Xenopus tropicalis: one gene and its partners. The protein of the gene in region 3 purifies or fractionates together with the protein of the main gene of each other region. This does not show direct contact. Links are inferred from orthologs where the notes say so. Each region holds a gene or a part of one and is shown on either strand. Other genes may lie near its edges. The genes, in order: tgfb1i1, daxx, hspb1 and g6pd.

Evidence for each region.
Region 1: the proteins of hspb1 (region 3) and tgfb1i1 purify together in Homo sapiens (affinity purification with western blotting; 3 studies listed by BioGRID). This does not show direct contact. The link is inferred for Xenopus tropicalis from reciprocal best matches to the Homo sapiens genes HSPB1 and TGFB1I1.
Region 2: the proteins of hspb1 (region 3) and daxx purify together in Homo sapiens (affinity purification with western blotting; 3 studies listed by BioGRID and IntAct, with this or other methods). This does not show direct contact. The link is inferred for Xenopus tropicalis from reciprocal best matches to the Homo sapiens genes HSPB1 and DAXX.
Region 4: the proteins of hspb1 (region 3) and g6pd fractionate together in Homo sapiens (co-fractionation; 3 studies listed by BioGRID and IntAct, with this or other methods). This does not show direct contact. The link is inferred for Xenopus tropicalis from reciprocal best matches to the Homo sapiens genes HSPB1 and G6PD.

Annotation. Positions count from the first base shown.
Region 1 is NC_030685.2:14,005,889-14,009,673, reverse strand, and holds part of tgfb1i1 (transforming growth factor beta-1-induced transcript 1 protein), read right to left. Parts: intron 3,022-3,785; coding exon 2,848-3,021; intron 2,124-2,847; coding exon 2,042-2,123; intron 1,302-2,041; coding exon 1,153-1,301; intron 516-1,152; coding exon 249-515; 3' UTR 1-248. UniProt on the Homo sapiens protein: Functions as a molecular adapter coordinating multiple protein-protein interactions at the focal adhesion complex and in the nucleus. Links various intracellular signaling modules to plasma membrane receptors and regulates the Wnt and TGFB signaling pathways.
Region 2 is NC_030684.2:72,201,972-72,207,144, forward strand, and holds the start of daxx (death domain-associated protein 6), read right to left. Parts: upstream 3,181-5,173; 5' UTR 2,995-3,180; intron 1-2,994. UniProt on the Homo sapiens protein: Transcription corepressor known to repress transcriptional potential of several sumoylated transcription factors. Down-regulates basal and activated transcription.
Region 3 is NC_030678.2:94,196,116-94,201,457, reverse strand, and holds the start of hspb1 (heat shock protein beta-1), read right to left. Parts: upstream 3,502-5,342; 5' UTR 3,454-3,501; coding exon 3,072-3,453; intron 1-3,071. UniProt on the Homo sapiens protein: Small heat shock protein which functions as a molecular chaperone probably maintaining denatured proteins in a folding-competent state. Plays a role in stress resistance and actin organization.
Region 4 is NC_030684.2:25,680,294-25,685,563, forward strand, and holds the start of g6pd (glucose-6-phosphate 1-dehydrogenase), read right to left. Parts: upstream 3,361-5,270; 5' UTR 3,316-3,360; intron 1-3,315. UniProt on the Homo sapiens protein: Catalyzes the rate-limiting step of the oxidative pentose-phosphate pathway, which represents a route for the dissimilation of carbohydrates besides glycolysis.

The DNA of each region.
Region 1 (3,785 bases), on a different chromosome or scaffold from region 3:
ATGTGGTCCCATACAACACCGAAAGCATTTATCCCATTCTCCCCGCAGAACACTGCATGGGGGTTCTGCCAGTCGTACAGAGCTGGATGAGCAGTGCAGATTGTGTGCCCTGCAGAGCAGCCCTTTCCCCTGCAGAGCCTTGCCTGTGTATCTTTATAGTCTGGTGCCTCGCACAGCATCCTTAGTATAGTCTTTGTGAAGCTGCATATTTCAGATGGACCCTCCTTTCCTGAAACCATGGAACCCCTCTACCCATACAGCCGGGCGTAGCAGGCCTGGCAGTAAGGTTTCCCATCATGCTCCCGGAAGGTGCCCTTGTTCAGCTGTCGGAGGCAAAAGGTGCAATTCAAGTGTTGGGGGTGGAACTTCTTGCCCATTGCAGTCACACAGCGCCCTGTTATTGGCTGCTCGCACCCAGCACACAGCGACCCACGGCGGGAGTGGTAATGAGTCTCACATAGAGGTAAGCCTTCGTGCTCAAAGAAACTTCCATTGATGAATGGTGTGTGGCACACCTACAGTATAAAGCGGTAAAGAAAGAGTTAAACATGATACATACATACATATAATACCAAAAATTATGTCACATGACATACTGACTTTATATAGTCACAGTGACTTCTAATATCCTTATCATTTACAGTAGGGGGTACATTATCCTTTATAATACATGAGTGATACCCAGAGTTCCCTGTATAACTCAGCCTGCAGCCTTGTGCCTTTATATGGGCACAGAACCCCTCAGTGACAGCTAATATCCTTATCATTTACAGTAGGGGGTACAGTATCCCTTATAATACATGAGTGATACTCAGAGTTCCCTGTATAACTCAGCCTGCAGCCTTGTGCCTTTATATGGGCACAGAACCCCTCAGTGACTGCTAATATCCTTATCATTTACAGTAGGGGGTACATTATCCCTTATAATACATGAGTGATACTCAGAGCTCCCTGTATGACTGCAGTTGCATTTATACACACAGGGGGGAGCTGACATACTGTTTGTCAGACACAGTACAATGAATATATCAGCAGGACTGCACATGTATTTGTCCCCTCACTGGGGGGTAGTTTAGCACTGATGACTATAGATAATGGGAGAGCCAAAGCTCTGTGCAAGGAAACATGAGCACCCATAAGCGCGTTACTCACATGGCACACAAAGCATTGTGGGTGCCACAAGCCACCCAGGGCAGAGATATAACTCTCCTTCACCGCCTCAGAGCAGCCTGCGCAGACGGCCCCAAACAGTCGGAAATAGTCATCTGAGCAGTACTGTTCCCCATCCTTCTCATGGAAACCTGCAAGAGAGACCAAGCAAGGGGAAAGTTACTTATGGGGACACATTTACAAAGAGAGGTGCTACAGCTAGGGGCCAAAGCATTGCACTGTGGGTAATGTTATAGAGCAGGATACCCCCGAAAGATCAGGTACCCCAACCCGTTGGGGCAGATTTGAGGGCACACAGCTGCTGTGTATTGCATAGCATACAGCATTTCAAAAATGCCAAAAATGTGCCTGAAGGCAAGAATGTACATATACTGGGCAAGTTGTCTCTGGGGCATGAAAGGCACCGTCATGGCGAGAGCTCAATCAATCACCTTTGGGCTAATGAGCCTGTTGTACAAAGTTGGCTACATGCCAGCTGTACTGACACGCCAGTTACACGCCAAGGATACATTAGAATGAGGGACCAACATTTAAGGCTAGTCACCTCAGAGCTCCATGACCTCGGCCTTCAGCCTCGTGCTTTTATATGGTCATAGGACTCCTTATAATATCCTTATATTTTACAATGGGGGTACTTTATTCACTATTTATTGCACAAAAAGTAAAGCCTTACAGCATCACAAGAGGTAGATCATGCACTATGTGGCAATAGGATATATGGTGACACCATTATAGGCAATGCATTATATCACAATAATAGGTATTATAGTGCAAAACATGCCTTGAGGGTGTATTGGTATTGGATATAATGGAATGCCTGGCTGGGGAATGCACTGTGACAATCAGGGGGCACTGGAATGGGAATACTCACCCTCTTCCCCTATTGGTTTTTTGCAGACTTTACAACAAAAATGCTCCGGATGCCAAGTGCACCCAAGTGCCGTAACCATGTTCTGAAGGGAAAGAGAAAATAGTATTAGAAACAGGAAATCTGGGTCAATATAGCAGTAATAAATGTACCAGTATAAAGGTGGCCATACACAGTCAGATTTAAGCAGCCAATTTGATTCCTTTAGACTGATTTGAAAGCTTACGTGCCCATGTATGGTGCCCCCCCAATGGGCTTCCCCTGATATCTGACTAGGTGTCAATTGGGCAGGTTTGCTTTTCCCATCAGATTGGGGACTGCATTGACTCACTGGTGCAGTCCTCGGCCCGACGATGCCTTTGGCCGCCATACGATCAAATTAGCTCAATATCACCCACCTTAGATGGGAATATTGGGAGAAGATCCGCTTGTTTTGCAACCTCACCAAATGAGCAGATCTCAAAGTGTATGGCCACCTTTAGGGTAAAGTCCAGTTTGATATGATTGCTTTGGAACCCCCACTAGTAAGCTCTTGTGGTCTTCCAGAGTCCAGAGTCCAGCCTTACCCCCAGGTTGTCAATGAGACAAAAGGACCACGGGGTGGAACAGTCAACATTCTTGCCTGCGCCTTATGTATATTCCAAGAGGCTAGAGCCCTGTAACTACTGTTTGATCCAGGGCTAACTCAGTGGCTCACAGCAGCAAATTACTAAATGCCACCAATCAGCAACCTATACCCCTATATTAAATCACTACCAAGCCTAGTACATATGTTGTAACTTTTATAACATTCCCCACAGGTACGTTACCTGCACTATGGGCAGTTCACATAGAGCACAGCGTGGGGCGTAGAGCATAAAGTAGTCTTTCTCACAATATGGTCGACCGTCCTTCTCGAAAAAGTTGGTTGTGCCAATCAGAGCGTGGCAGTGGGCACACACAAAATGCTCTGGGTGCCAGGTATGTCCGAGAGCGGTAACCACCTGAAGAAGACAATGGGTCACAATTTAACAAAATCCAACAAGAACCCCTTCATTACCACAGCACAACCCCAGGACAAGAAGCTGTTGTTTCAGCAGCAGGAATGGCTTAGTCTGGGGCACTGGGGCACTGGGGTAAATGCAACCAAGACAACATACAGGCACTTACAGACTCTATACAAGGTCAAAATGTACAGTTTTGTTCGTTTAACTGGACTAACCCAGTAAAAACCAGTTGCTATGGGTTACTAGACCTTTCACAGTATAATTACATAGTACATACAGTTGTCATACTTCAATTAAACTATCACTATGAAGATAAGGTGCCTTGTCTGCAGAACTTGTTATCTCCCACCGCCTGCTGTCTGGCCGTCTTCAGCTTCATGGTTGGATGACTCTTGTTTGTATTTCCTGCTTGTAGAACTGGAAAACCGTGTTCTTGGGCAAATTTGAACAAGAAAAGTATCAAAACATCATACACGGTTGTGATTTTTACACACACGGTGGGAGGGGAAATGTTACGGTAGAAAGAACTTTGATTTTGGGACTATGGGCACCGAATTACTGACCTTCAGAAAAGACTTTGTCATCAAGGCCAACTCTTCATCAACATCACTTCATCATTACTTCATTTAAAAGGAATGAAACTTCACACAAATTTCCACCAAAATGTTTCCGGGGGTGCAAGAATAAATGATGGACTATGGATCCATAAATCAGCATATTCTGCACTAATGTAATAATAGTCCTAAGCTTTGCTCTTGGTC
Region 2 (5,173 bases), on a different chromosome or scaffold from region 3:
TGACTAAGATACAACAACTCAAATATAAATGCCAGGGCTCTTATGAACAGTTTGAAGCCCAATAAACATAACATTACAAATTTATGAGTCCTATAGAGGCCCCACACAATGGAAAGTTCTACAGGAAATTTACACAGGCAAAAACAAGTAATGAAGAACAATGGAGAATGCAATAAATGAACTAAAATAATAAAAAGAAAACTTTTAGCACATTGAGATCAATGGTCAAAATACTACTTTTAATAGCCTTATTGTGCTATTGGCATTAACAACCAACCAACAGCTACTACAAAATGACTAAAAATGCAAACCAGAGAGATAAAATATGATATATTATACAGTACATTTAGTGTTTACATTAATTTCAATATTGAAACAAAAAAAATCTTAGCTAGACATACCCAATTTAGTAAAAAAACAAATGAAAACTATAAATGTTGGGGAAGGTAGGAGAGGATGGCAGGGTGCAGAAATAGGAGGTGAAATGCGACAACTAATTAGCACACCGCAAACTGCTGCAGGATTAGTTGCAGTGATTCGTATATTAGCCTATGGTCAGGTGAGGGTGTTTACTGAGGCTCCTGGGCCCACACGTAGCATATGGCGCATATTTTTGGCAAGCCGAAAAACGCATGCTGAGAATATGCTCTATACGCTTAAAAATCCCCCTACCTGTGCCTGCACCCGAATGAATTGAATACGCTCGGGTGCAGGCACATGTAGCCGATATCCGCCTAAACGCAAATGAGGCAGGAGCTTTTTTTATTTGCCTAAAAAGTCATCCATCCATTTCTTAAAACTAATGTAAATGCAGGTACAACCACTTTAAAAATAGATTTTCCACAACTTCACACCTCAGTTCATTTGATACAATGCCAGATAGGAGGGATTGGAAATACATTATGTAAGGCCAAATCATTTTTATCTTTTCTGATTCTTGGAAGTTGTGTAGAAACCACTGTTGACCTCAATTAAATATATTTCATAAAATTATGTGCTGGTAGACTTCTAAGCAGATATATACTAAATAGCTGCACAAAAAAACAGTGCAATCTGCATTGCACTTAATTGTGAATTGGCTATTCAGCCAGTTGACTTTATAAGTTGGTGAGGATATTAGTGTTTTATATTCAATTTCAACAAGAATGAGCTGAATGAGATCACGTGCTGCTTCATGTTTTTTTTCCAGTCACTTCTACAGGAATTGTATACTTAAAGGACATGTAAACCCTACATTTGCCTACAATGTATATCAGTTGGGCACGTCTCCCCCACCCAAATGACATCATTTGCACTGCATATATCCTCTCCGCTTGCTAGCACCATCACATTTTCCTAAAGCAAATAGCAGCTTTCACCTGGTGGCCATTTTTCCTCTAATACATAATCAGATACATTTAAATATGCAAACAGCATACACACACACAGACCCTTATTCAGCATACATTCCATCAAGAATACAGGCTTACACAGGCACAACTGTCTTTGATAAAAGTTCTGCTTTGTTTGAGTTGAGCTCAGGAGAGGAGGTTAGGAGAAAAAAATTGAAGCAGACAGCTAGAGCTGAGTTTCTATGGGAACCAGCAATGCCATCTCTTCACTGGCTGCTAAGACTGGAGGGCGTGTCTAGTAATCTGAGCTTAGAACAACTGAGCATGTCCACAAGCCAGAAGTCAAAGCAAATTCCTGAGGGTGGGGGCCGAGTGGGTTACAGGAGGAGCATCTAAGTGATTAAGGAGATGTTGCAGCCTTACTATTAAAGATTTCAAAGAGGCTGTTCGCTGATTAAATTTTTGTGTGTGGGGTTTACATGTCCTTTAAAAGAATAATTATACCCTAAAAAGTAATATGGCTAGAAACTGAAATTATTGGACCAGCCTAAAGGTTCAGCATCTCTATATTAGTAATGATCCAGACCTTCAAACTCATGACAGGAGCTCCCCATCTTCTGTTAGAAGTGCCGGTGACACTCACACGCTCAGTGGGCTATGGGCAGCTGTTAAAAAGCTTAGGGGTCCTCACAAATTATAAAGCAGAAAATGAGGTTTGCCAGTCATGTAAACTAATGCTACAGGATTTACTAAACTCTAAAGCTAAGTGTGATGTAGGAAGAGGAAAATAGAAATGGGGGTCCCTGAATTACCCCCATATATGCCCCCCTCTTCTGGGTTAATAAACTTTAATATTTAGGTGAAATGTCGACGAAGGACATAAAGCTTTTCAAACTAAACAATGCTGATCCCATTGTGGTGGACATGAAACCCAAAATTTCACACTGGGCACAGCTTAAATGATCTTAACCCAAACAAGGGGCACATGCCCCAGATGTAAAGGTGGTCCTGGGGCCTGGTTACATGTAAAACTGTCTTGTCCGGATATCCATGATTATTGAATCCTGATCTTAGCTTTTATTTCTAAGGGAATGGTCCTGAAAATAGAACCCAACCCAGCAACTGCAGTTTTAGGTCTGACTACTGGAATCACCTCCTGCAGAATACTTTCCTTCTACCTGTATAGTTCTATGTAAAAAAAGAAATTATACTTAGTGGAATAGATTCAGATAGAGGCTGTAAACAAAGCCCTACCATTTTATAAGGTACATTTGGCTTTTCTTTTTCTTTTTTCTTTGCTTTTCTCCCTTTTTCTCACTTTCTATTTTATAATTCGCATTAAAAAGGGAAGGAGGTCCCTACAATAAGTCTGCACACAACATTAATGTCTATAAAATAATCAGATAGCTTTAATGCCATTAAATACACATGGAGCTATAACATCTCGCCACCGCGGCTGCCGTATGTGTGTGACAGACGGGAGTTCCAAGGCAGCTAGCAGGGCCACAGACCAACTGCATTTGCACGGACACAGAACACTTCTCTACTTGTCTTTAACTGCTGCCAAATGTTACGCCTGTCAGGTTACAAGACTTCTTCCAAAATCTTTTTGTTACTACAATACCACCCCAATATATAGAAAGCTAAATAAGCAGGTGATTACCTTGGTGAGTAGCCGAATTTTTAGCAATCTGCCACACGTAGTACCATAGGCGCACAGACTATATTATAAAAATCGTATTCCCAAACACAAATAACATACGGTATAATCGGAAAATTATCGCGCCAGTCCCACTCAACGTCCGCTTCCGGTCCCGTTTAGATTCAGCTATTCCACTATCTGCTTCCGTTTCCGTGTAAGAAAGTGGGCGGTGCTTGCGACGTAACGTAACCTTGCGTAGGGAAGTCTGAGCCGCAATGAGTTGTTTTTTAGTACAATTAGCATAACCCAGTCTCTTTCCCTATGGTGCTGGTACTGCTGTCCAGGCACTGAGGCTGATACAGTAATCTTTTTAAGTTTAGGGAGGCTCTAGGTATGACTTACTGGTAAAACTGTACTGATTCATCTCCTGCAGCAAGACAGCTCTCTCAGTCTGCTGGCTTGTGTTACATTACATAGTAACATAGTAAGTTAGGTTGAAAAAAGACATATATCCATAAAGTTCAACCATAAAGTATGCCTCTGCCTGCCCTATGCTGCCTGTGTGTGCCATACTCTGCCTGCCCTATGCTGCCAGTGTGTGCCATACTCTGCCTGCCCTTCCCTGCCTGTGTGTGCCATACTCTGCCTGCCCTTAGCTGCCTGTGTGTGCCATACTCTGCCTGCCCTACCCTGCCTGTGTGTGCCATACTCTGCCTGCCCTTCCCTGCCTGTGTGTGCCATACTCTGCCTGCCCTTAGCTGCCTGTGTGTCATGCTCTGCCTGCCTTACCCTGCCTGTGTGTGCCATTCCCTCCCTGCCGTATGCTGCCTGTGTGTGCCATACCCTCCCTGCCCTATGCTGCCTGTGTGTGCCATACCATCCCTGCCCTATGCTGCCTGCATGTGCCATACTCTGCCTGCCCTTAGCTGCGTGTGTGTGCCATACTCTGCCTGCCCTTCCCTGCCTGTGTGTGCCATACTCTGCCTGCCCTTAGCTGCCTGTGTGTCATGCTCTGCCTGCCTTACCCTGCCTGTGTGTGCCATTCCCTCCCTGCCGTATGCTGCCTGTGTGTGCCATACCCTCCCTGCCCTATGCTGCCTGTGTGTGCCATACCATCCCTGCCCTATGCTGCCTGCATGTGCCATACTCTGCCTGCCCTTAGCTGCGTGTGTGTGCCATACCCTCCCTGCCCTATGCTGCCAGTGTGTGCCATACTCTGCCTGCTCTACCTGTGTGTGCCATACACACAGACAGCATAGGTCAGCTATGCAGGGATTAAAAGGTGTGAACAACACAGGGGATTACATTTTTAAACAATACAGGGGTTTACAGCCTGAATCTGAGGTGAGAACAATGCAGGGGGGCAGTTAATCTCAGTACTGATACCATTTAAAGTTTACACAAAGGTAAGCCATCAAAGCAGCCAGACAGGTGGGGGGCCACACAGAGGGGGTCGCCAGTTGGACAGCACTGATCCAGAGGAAGGCAGAAAACCCCATCTGAAGCCTCTTTAATTTGCCATAGAGGGGAAAAAATTCCTTCCTGACTCCAAGATGGCAATCGGACCAGTCCCTGGATCAACTTGTACTAAGAACTATCCCCCATACCCCTGTATTCCCTCACTTGTACTGAGAGCTATCTCCCATACCCCTGTATTCCCTCACTTGTACTGAGAGCTATCTCCCATACCCCTGTATTCCCTCACTTGTACTGAGAGCTGTCTCCCATACCCCTGTATTCCCTCACTTGTACTGAGAGCTATCTCCCCTACCCCTGTATTCCCTCACTTGCTAAAAAGCCATCCAACCCCTTCTTGAAGCTATATAATGTATCAGCCAGTACGACTATTCAGGGAGGGAATTCCACAACTTCACAGCTCTCACAGTAAAAAATTATTTCCGAATATTTTTTTTTTTTTAACAGAAATTCTTTTTATTGCTTATATCAGTATATAAGGGTAGGGATACAGAAAGGAAAAAGGGGGGGGGGGAGGGGTACAGCCATAGTTGAGTTTTCCATATTATCATTCAATAACATACAAGAATGTTCGCATATATAGTTCAAGGTAAATCAATCAGGTGAGTATCCAGCCAGCCTCCCCAGACTGACAGACTCTGTCAAATTTGTTCGGCTGGCCTCTGGATTCATATGTAAGCTTAATTAGCGGGAACATTTTATTGACCAATTCTACCCATTCCGT
Region 3 (5,342 bases):
GCTGCAGCACACAGATATTTCTTTACAAAGGTTAGAGCCAAAGAGGGAGAGGGCAGCCCCTTTCTTGAGAGAAAAACTACTTAAAATATTGGTGTCAGCATTTTTGGATTTAGCCAAATCTTTTGCGAACAGCCACAGTATTAAACTTAAGTGACTTTGTAGTGAATGTGACAGTTGTTTATTATATACATATTTTTTTAATATTCCATTTATTTTATTGCATGCATGTATCACATTTAGAGCTAAGGCTGTATGGGGCAGGAGGGCCATGCACTTTAATAATTTTGTTTCTCTGTATTGCATATAACTATTACAGCTTATTAGTGATACTGCATTTAGAAATCAATTTTCTGAAGTAAAAATTACCAGAGAAATGGATGTTTATATTCATAAAAATATTCTGCCCTTTCCTAATCTAATATTTTATCTTAGTGCTGTAAATACAAAGGTAACCATCTTTACATTCTATTTCTATATAAATAAATCATGATGACCTTGTCCTATATATAGTAGCTTTTCTCTTAGTTAGGTTACATACTGAAATGTCACTGGCTTACTGATAAAGCCTTATTACTAGCAACAAAGCCTCAGTTGCTACAACAAATGTCTGTTATCTAAACTGATGTGCTGGAGACATTGTCCATTTGGGTCTATTGATACATGATACATTCAGCACATGGTACAGCTTTACCCTTGAATATACAATACCCCAGTTACCCTCAAAAGACTTGCGCTGCTAATGGCATATCTAATAAACCTTGTCTCTTTCTACTCTTAAACACGACTGATAAATGCATCTGATGCCAGCTTTGTGTTCTAAGGCTTATCAATGATAAGTCTACAGCACAGGGCTGCCTGGACTGTGTTGAAACCATTTCAAGATTATTGAGCAAGCCGACTTGCTTAAGGGCCATGGCCCACAGGGATATTATTCGCAGGGAACTAATCTCCCCAAAATGCCTTTCCACTTGCAATATAATGAATAACCTGTGGGAAAAAATATGCAGCATTTTGTTTTCCATCTGCTATTCACTTTATTTCCTGTGGGAAGGCATTTCAAAGAGATTAGTCACCCACAGTAGCCAAGATTTAACCACGAGTGACCAATCTCAATGGCACAAGAGGAGATTAGTCGCCTGCAACAAATCGTTATTGTGGACCTTTAATCTCCTCCAAATGCCTCAATGCCTATAGTTTACTTGCAAGGCAACTTTAACAACTTCATAAACCTAAAGTGATGCATATGTTTTCCCACTAGCAATTTGCATTATTGCCAGATGGAAGGCAAATTGAGATGAATGCAAGTAGGTGCAAGAACATTGGTTATGCCATTTTTATGAGAACTTCTGTGACCCTTTTTGCCCCGAGCATTCATAAATTAAACCTATTATCTAACAATATGATTCCTCTACTTCCCCTAGTTATATATAACTATTGTAATCGCTGCCACCTGCTGCTCTATGTGAAATTTGTCAGCACCCATACCACAGTTTCAGTGTGGTCTCCCCCACCCCCATTACATTTCTACAGTTTACTGTGTGTTAAATAGACCATAGGATATGTTTTAAAAATGAGTTGGAAAAATGAGCTGAGGCAGAAATAGAGATGATCAAGTTTTCTATTTGCAGAAGTATCGTATGATTATTATGATTTGTGCACAACAATATTGCCTTTTTTCTGTGAGTGTGTGACTAACCAAAACTTGAAGGAGAAGGACATGATAGAGAGGCAAAATAATGTCATTATATAAAATAACTAACTGTAAGCTTAATTACTTTACAAAAAAAATGTTTCATGAGATTCCTCTTTAATACTGTCCTTTAATACTTCAGTCCTAGCTATTTGTAGCTGCAATGCTGCAGAGTGACTTATATATATATATATATATATATTATATATATATATATATATATATAGACAGCAGTGGCGTGGAGAAGGGGAAGCAAGTGGTGAGCAGGGCTAGGCGTGCAAAATCTATAAATCCGGCCCTTACAGTACTGCATAATAATTTTAATGGGTAACAAACTAGGGGAAATATTTATCATGTGTAAAAAGTGGACTGAAACACTAACTGTGACATTGCCTAGGGCACCAATCAGCAATTAGATTTTAAACCAAAGCAAACATCTGGTTGGCTGCTATGAACAGCAGCACCGGTAATGTTTTACTCCCACTGCCCCCTAACTTGTTTATCATTCAAGCACACAAGTTAGGGAGTGAAGGCAGATGCTAACTGCAATGGTGCTCCTTACAACCTGTCCAGGCTGTGATGATAGGACTGGCTTATGAAGCTGCATTTTAAGGCAAAAATGGAGAAGGGACATGCTGTTGTGCCCCTAAGTGCACTTGCTCTTCTGCTCTAGGTCTACATAAATTCTATATAAATTACCTCCAGTATATATGGCAGATGATTCTGCTGGCAGTAGAGTAGGTTGGCCATAGTTAGGAATTGATTTGGGAAGTTTTAAGTAGGGGTAGGTCTTGGACCCAATAAACTGTATTACAGGGTAGAGATAAAGGAAGTGCCGCATTGGCCTTAGAAACTTCAAGGTGGACATTTAAGAGCCCAGTCCTAGGTGGAGCTGGATGTCCTTGGTTAGGCTAGCTAGGTATGGGTTATTCCTCCGAGGTGAGAGGCAGGTACGTTAGCTAGCAGGGGTAGCTGTGCCCAATGAAGGAGACAACCGTCACATGTGATTTTGTACCAGAAAACAGAGTGTGCCTTTTCATTCTAGGCATGACAGAGCTGCATAGGTAAGGAAGTCACCTCTTGGAGATGGTCTCAGTATGGCTTTTGTTTAACTTTTCTATCATGTTGTATCCAGGCTATGGTAAGGAACTAGGTGTCCTTTGTCCTATGAGCTTGAAAATCGATTACAAAATTGCTTGAAAGTTCAGGGAAATGTAATTACTTTGCAACCAGTGCAGCCCTGCTAAGTGCATTTATTAGAAGTGGTAATGCAGTGTGTTGGAATTATACAGCAAAACAGTATGTGAAAGGCATTTTTTAAAATAATCAATGTAGAATGTTATACTATTATTGCTAGTATATGAGGTTAGCCATGCCATACCTGTAATTTCCACGATGCCATCTTTAGTTTTTATGACCAGCTCCTCTGGGGCAAAATGGTTGACATCTAAGCTGATTTTCCATTGGTCTGAAGTCTGACGGATCTCTGAGATTCCACTGCTAAGCTGGCGGCTGAGGGCACGATTAAAGTCAGGAGCAGTTGCACCAGCAGGTGTGGTGGGGGGGACAACTTCCATGGACTGGCTTGGAAGCATGCGAACATAGCCTGGCCAGCTGGTGCTGGGCCATTGGTACCAGTCCTCGGGAATACGTGGCATACCGAATGACTGATCGAAAAGGCGACTGGTGCCTTGGTACCAGTCCCGAAATGGGTCCCAGCTTGGAGTGCGGAGGAAGGAGAATGGTATTCTGCGTTCTGACATTTTCTCTAGACCTGTGCCAGCTAGTAAGTGCTCTTTACTCTGTTCGGCCTGTGGTTGCTCTGAGGGTCTGGAAGGTGCAGCGGCTTTATGAAGAGCTAGCTGGTTATTTTTAGCTGATGGAATGAGCATTCTATTAATGGAAATTACACATGTAGTTGTGATGGAAATGTCTGGCATCTCTGCATGACAATACAATGACAGGGCACTCTCTCATAAACTGGGTAAACTTAACTTGTAGCCTTCTCAAGTTCCCAAGGGGGTAAAGGGTCTATAAACTGATGCTTTCTCTATTGATGACTTTGCAGAATACATTTTAGGAAAGCAAATTAGGGTAGAATGTAGAGAACCTCATGGCAACAAATTAGATGTTTGCTTTCATTGTTCTACCTACTCCTTGTTTAAATAAGCTAATCATTGACTTGCTGCTATGGGTTACTGACCAGGTCCAAAGTTGCCTACTGTAAAGAGGTAAAAAGATTATTCCTAGTTTTATTTTTAACCATAAAAGAAATGAATTGTTACATGAAGAGAAGAATATATTAACATTGTATTTTTTTCAACATTGTTATAAAGCACCAGCATACACCATATACAAATACTTAAAGGAGAAGAAAAGGTAAAAACTAAGTAAGCTTTATCAAAAAGGTCTATGTAAATACAGCCATAAGGACTCACAGAGTCCTCTATCAAAAGAAACACAGGATTTCTTGTCTCCTTTTTTGTAAACATGTTCTTAGGGTATCTGACTTCCTCTCTCAAAAAATCCTTCATTCCTGGGCCCTGAGTTGGCTTAGTTCTCTCTCTCCCTTCTGCTCCCCCTTCCCATAAGAATACATAAAACTTATTCCCCCCATCCTTAGGAATGTGTAATATGGGCTATCAGCCTCTAGATCTACTGCAGGAAGCTATGAACCCAAGCTAAAATGGCAGCTGCACAGAAAACAGAGAAAGCTTCTAGGAATCTTTACTCAGGTATGGTAATGCTTTCTGCAGAATAAATATAGCGTTCTAGGTGGCACTAAAGTGGAGAATCTATTGGCAGTAAATTGCCAAAATGACTTTCCTTAGCCTTTAAGCGAGCCATCCTTATAAGATCTCTTGACTCAGAATATAACAATCTACAATAGCCCTTGCAAAACTACAGAGGAATTTTTTACACTATTTTGAGAAAGAATGAGAAAGCTGTAATAAAATTCCAGTGTTCATTAAAAATGTGTCACTAAGATATACCCACAAAGTATTATGTGATGTTTCATGAACTGTGACAACCAACTTAGTCTGTTCTTCATTGTGTTTTTCATAATCAGAGCCATGCATAACATGTAACATATTTGCTTTTAAAGGATGCTTAGTGGGATTGCCATCATTGTGGTGGACCAGGACAAAGTGGGCAAGACAATGACGTTAAAAAGTAGGGTAATGACATTGAGGGCAGAACCATGATGTCAGCCATTGGGTCAGGGACACTTGAGAGCAGAGTTATGATCTTGGTGGGGCTTTGATATTGCAGGTGTGCAACTGGGCAATTTTAATCCAGGTTTTACAATGCTAAAAAGTTTTGAACAACAGTCCCCTATAAAAAACAGCTATTCTGTTCAAAACTGGATAGGTAGCAACCCTAGTGATTAATTATATAAATTATTAAAATCAGTGTTTCGTGATATCAGTTGTCACATGATTCACTGAAAACTGTGTTTTATAAAAACTTCCTCCCCTATTCCTAATGTATGATGATATTACAAATTACCTTGCGTTGCCATGAACTGTAAGAGAAATATGGTAAAAAATATCCTTATATTTTACATAGGGTATGTTATTTTCTTCCGGTCAGAATGCATTTGTATTGTTGTTGCTGATCAGCCTTTAGATGTCTGAGAGATGTAGTTTAA
Region 4 (5,270 bases), on a different chromosome or scaffold from region 3:
CTCTTATTCATCTTCCAGTCTCTATTTCACAGCACTGTCTGCATGATAGGGTAATTTGGACCCTATCAACCAGATAGCTGCCAAAAATGTCAAACTGGAGAGCGGCTGAACAAAAAAGTACAGTACAGTATGGGTTAAAGCATTTTATGGGCATAGAATGTTCTGCCTCTGTAGACCTGTACCATACATATGAGGAGCTGCTGCAAGGAAATAGTCATTGAGGGACAGACGAGGTGCTTAGTTGCCACAATAGGATTTTTAAAAACTAATCGCCATGGTGAGAATAGCAGTTCCCACACCGCATATCTCCAATGTTTTTTTAAATTACGTAGACTAATTGTCTTGTCTGTCTTCCCTCTAAAACAGGGGTCCCCAACCTTTTTTACCAGTGAGCCACAATCAAATGTAAAAAGAGTTGGGGAGCAACACAAGCATGCAAAAAGTTCCTGGGGGTTCAAAATAGGAGCTGTGATTGGTTGTTCTGCAGCCCCTATATGGAATGGCAGCCTACAGATGTCTTTGCTTGGCAGTACATCTGTTTTTTATGCAACCAAAACTTGCCTTTAAGCTAGGAATTCAAAAATAAGCACCTGCTTTGAGGCCACTGGGAGCAACATGTTGCCCTTAAGTCACTGGTTGGGGACCACTGCCCTAAATGGTTATGTTTTATGCTGCAGTCTAAAAAAAAAATGCTTGAACATAGATAAGCAACATGGCATCTCCAAACCATCATATATATAAATGCAAGTACTCAGAAAGTATATCCAATGCAAACAGCAAGCTATACCCTCAGTTTATTGATCGACTGGCTCCAGTGCAAAATAGGCACAAAAAGGGTTAAGAAACTCTTATTTTCTTCATATACCTCATGGGTTAAAGAGCAATTAATACACTGGGGCAGTTATGCAAGCTCGGGGCATGCTGAAGCAGCACAGGGTGGGTGGGCACCGGGCTAGGATAGGTGGAGGAGCTTGTCAGGTGAGCAGAAGAGAGAAGAGGAGAGTGAGAATGCCAAAAATCCATGCACATGAATACAAAGGGTGAGGTACAGTCAGCATGATACAGCAAATGTACCACCACTTCCTAGCTGGAATTCAGCAGTAAATCACTGTTTAATGCCTACTGATAATCTGACTGTAACCCCTTCCCTGCTGGAACCTGGCAGAGCCTGATGAGCAAGACCATGGACCCGACACTGGCAATGCTACAGAGGAGGCTTCCCTTGTTGCATAACATTACATAACTATTGTCTTCTCTTCCGTAATTTGGAGACGTGTCCAACACCCCACAGTGTAATAAGTACAAACTAGCAAGTTATGCCTCCCGTCCCCACCTGCAGCAGACTGATACAGGAGAATAGTAGGTTACAATGTTACTGCCTGTTCCACCAGATAAACAGAACGCCCAGGATAATCCATCCCTATTCCTGGGACGGATCCAATTATGCAAGGGTTGCTCACCAAGCAATTGCTGCTTCTCAGTATATTGCATTACTTCCTGATCTGTAACAAGGCTTAAAGGGGATCTTAAGCCAAAAAAGTCTAATGAAATCAAATGTCATTGTAAGCAGGTTTCCAATATGCATTTATTTCAGTTAACTTTTAGTATGTCATAGAATGGCCAATTCTAAGCAATTGGTCTTCATCATTTATTTTTTATAATTTTTAAATTACTTGACTTCTTCTTCTGACTCTTTACAACTTTCAAATGGGGGTCACTGACCCCAGCAGCCAAAAACTATTGTTCTGTGAGGCTACAATTTTATTGTTAGTGTAACTTTTTGTTACTTTTCTTTCTGCTTAGGTCCTCTCCTATTAATATATGATTCTTTCATTCAAACCAATGTCCGGTCACTAAGGTAATTTGGACCCTAGCAACCAGATAACTGCTGAAATTTCAAACTGGAGAATTTCTAAACAAAAAGTGAAATAATTACAAAACGACAAATAATAAAGAATGAAGACTAATTGCAAATTGTCTCAAAATATTACTCTCTACATCATACCAAAAGTTAACTCAAAGCTAAACAACCCCTTTAAACACATTCAACGTATTTAGTTCAACGTATTTAGTTATTTGTAAATTCTACTGAAAGAAGTCCCTTGCTGTTTTCTGACCTGAATCTGACTTCTGAAACAATGTAGCAGAAGCCACCTGATTAACGGGATCGTTGTGGCAGATTTCTGCTGCTGCACTGTTTCAAGAGTCAGAACCAGCAGTGTAGAAAGTGACAGATAAAGTACTGCTTTAAATCAAAGATAATTTTTAAGGCATTGTATTTATTTAATGTATACTGGGAAGTCGGATTGAATTTTCTTTAGTGATTCTAATTTTTATTCTGGACATGGACAGTGTCCTCTTAATTCAATGCAGCTTGGTAGTTCAGCAACATCTAAAGAACAGACCATTCTCTTCACCAGCTAATGTCAGTATCACCTGCCTGATGACCCCAGCAAAACTGAAGATGCCTTTGTTCCAGGTGCCAGTGCCTGAGAAATACAATTACTGGGAAATGTGCCAATTCTGTTGCTATGGGTTGCTAAGAAGGAGAAAAAATGTTCATATGTTTGTGAATGACCCCCTGCATCAGGAAGCAAAATCACAAAGTAATACACATGGTAATGATCTGGAAAGTTTGCAAACGAGCAACAAATTTTAAAGTGACCACATCACAAACACGAGGATGAGGAGTGCTGTTTCTAACCTACAAACCCCAGCATGCCCAGTTACCTAATGTTGGCTTCTGGGTGTTATAATGAAAAAACAGGTTTAAAATCCAAGTGACAGTTGTTACACCTCACTCCATTTAAAACCAGACACATAATTAACCAACATCCTTCATGGCTAAGTAGAACTGTATTTAGACACATGCTGCGTGCTGTGCTGGCTACTGTGCAGCCCTGCAGAATGCATAATAACTCAGCACGTGAATTTTAGAAGTGATTTTATAAGTGTTAAGTGTTTGGCTTTAAAAGGAGCGATACCCTGCCTTAAGGTGTTCACCATGATGCCCTGGTGCCAGCATATTTGCTTGCTTTCATTTAGCTTCAGTGGATTTTGGGAGGAACCCACTACAATATAAATTGAACGTAGAAAGCTCAAGCTGTTTACATCTTGCAATTTTCCATTCTTTTCCTAGGACTCAATAACATTCCAGTAAACAGGACAGACAGTTCTCTCTAAATTCCCAGACTAGGATAAACATATAGCCTTCCTTTAGAAAGTGAAAGAGGCTTCCATTGAGTAAACTTAAACAAGCTGTGCCCTACCCAGTTTGAGACCCCCATATTACTGCAATAGGGTTTGGTTACTCACTGAGGGGATGCTGTGCCGACTCAGGGGAATCAAGTTTAGCTTGTGCTTCGAGATGTCAGTGCTGTGTGTGTGCCCTAGAGATGCCAGGAGCGTTGTGTTTGTCTGATAGGGCGGGACATAGAGGCAGGCTCCCGTCTAGGGACTCCCAGCCTACTATGCATGTTTCACCACTCCCCTTCATCAAATCCCTCCCAAACTGAGCATTCCACTGCTCTACTCCATGCACCTTTCTCCCCACATCACTCTTGTACATCCCAGAGTACTCTCTGGCACTGGATTTTAAAGCAGTAATTACACATCAATCCCTTCCCCAGTAGAGCTTACAATCTTACAATATTTATATCTCCTACTTTAGGTTCATATCCATAAAGCAAACTTAGATCACTAAATTAATTGCATTGTTGTGCGGCGAAACACAAATATTCAACAAGGGACAAGGGTAAAAATGGAAAGGATTATTTATATTGGGACAAAATAGTATTATAGGAGAAATAAACCACTTCATACCTCTTTGGTTCCCTGCAGAATCCTTACACCTCTATCCCAAACCAAGCACCCAAATACAGTATGTTTCCCTAGAGCCAGGCCAAGTATAATTGGCACTGAAGGGCCCATGACTCCTTGGGGCTGATTTACTAATCCACGAATCCGAATCCCGAATCGGAAAAAATTGGATTGGAAACGAACATTTTGCGACTTTTTCGTATTTTTTGCGATTTGTTCGTCACCGTAGCGACTTTTTCGTAGCCGTTACGACTTGCGCGAATTGTCGCAACTTTTTCATAGCCATTATGACTTTCGTGAATTGTCGCGACTTTTGCATAGCCATTATGACTTTCGTGAATTGTCGCGACTTTTGCATAGCCAATATAACTTTCGTGAATTGTTGCGACTTTTTCATAGCCATTATGACTTTCTTGAATTGTCGCGACTTTTGCATAGCCATTACGACTTTCGCAAATTTTCGCGACTTTTTCGTATTGAGCGCTCTAAAAATTCGCGAAAAAAGTCGCAAAATACCGATCATTACGAAAAAACCGCATTCGGACGCTTTCCGGACGTTCGTGGATTAGTAAATGTGCCCCCTTGTCTAACTGGACCAATCCCCCACTTCAGTTCAATTTACAGGTCAGCCACCCACTGCTTGCTCCCGCTCTTCCAGTCACTATTTATTGGGCTGGTGGGGGCTGTTTGGGCCTCTGTGTACTTGGAATGCCAGCAGGGGTGGACTGAGCCAACCGGCCACCCAAGGCAACCCGGGTGGCCACCTAGTCCCTGCACTATTGCATTGCACCCCCCGTGTGTTTTGGCGGGGGGGTGCGATGTGAAAGTTCATTGCCCCCACCGCGGCAGGGGTAATGAAAATGGAGCACTAACTAGGGGTAGGCAAGAGAGGCTCCTGCCTGGCGCCCTTCAATCGTTGCCCCCTAGGCAGCTGCCTCTTCTGCCTACCCCTAGTTCTGGCCCTGAATGCCAGTCCAGCCTGTGCCCCCCAACTGTGATTGAGTCACATGCCCCTGCTGCCTAGCCCTAGTTCCAGCCTTATGCTTCCTCGTACATCAGGATTTAAGGCAGAGTAGAGCAGCAGGGTTGGCAGCTGCCATATATATGACTTCCTCTGCCTATTGGGGTACATAGGTGTTTTTGGGTCAGGAGGGAGGACTCTGCAGGGAAATGAAAGAGAAAACCATAAAAATTGCTTTATTATCACTGGAATAACAAAATGCTGCAATTGGTCAGCAACTGGCACAGTGCCTGGTCATTAGGAACAGTTCCCAACTATGGATCACTTATACATACATATAATATACATAGATCCAATATGAATTTCAGAGTTACGTGCGCACACATTAAACACATACAAGAGCAATGATTAACCTGTAAAAATATTCATATACAGATATGGCACCTAGTGATGTCATTGTTTATAATCAGCACTTAGTGATGTCATTCAC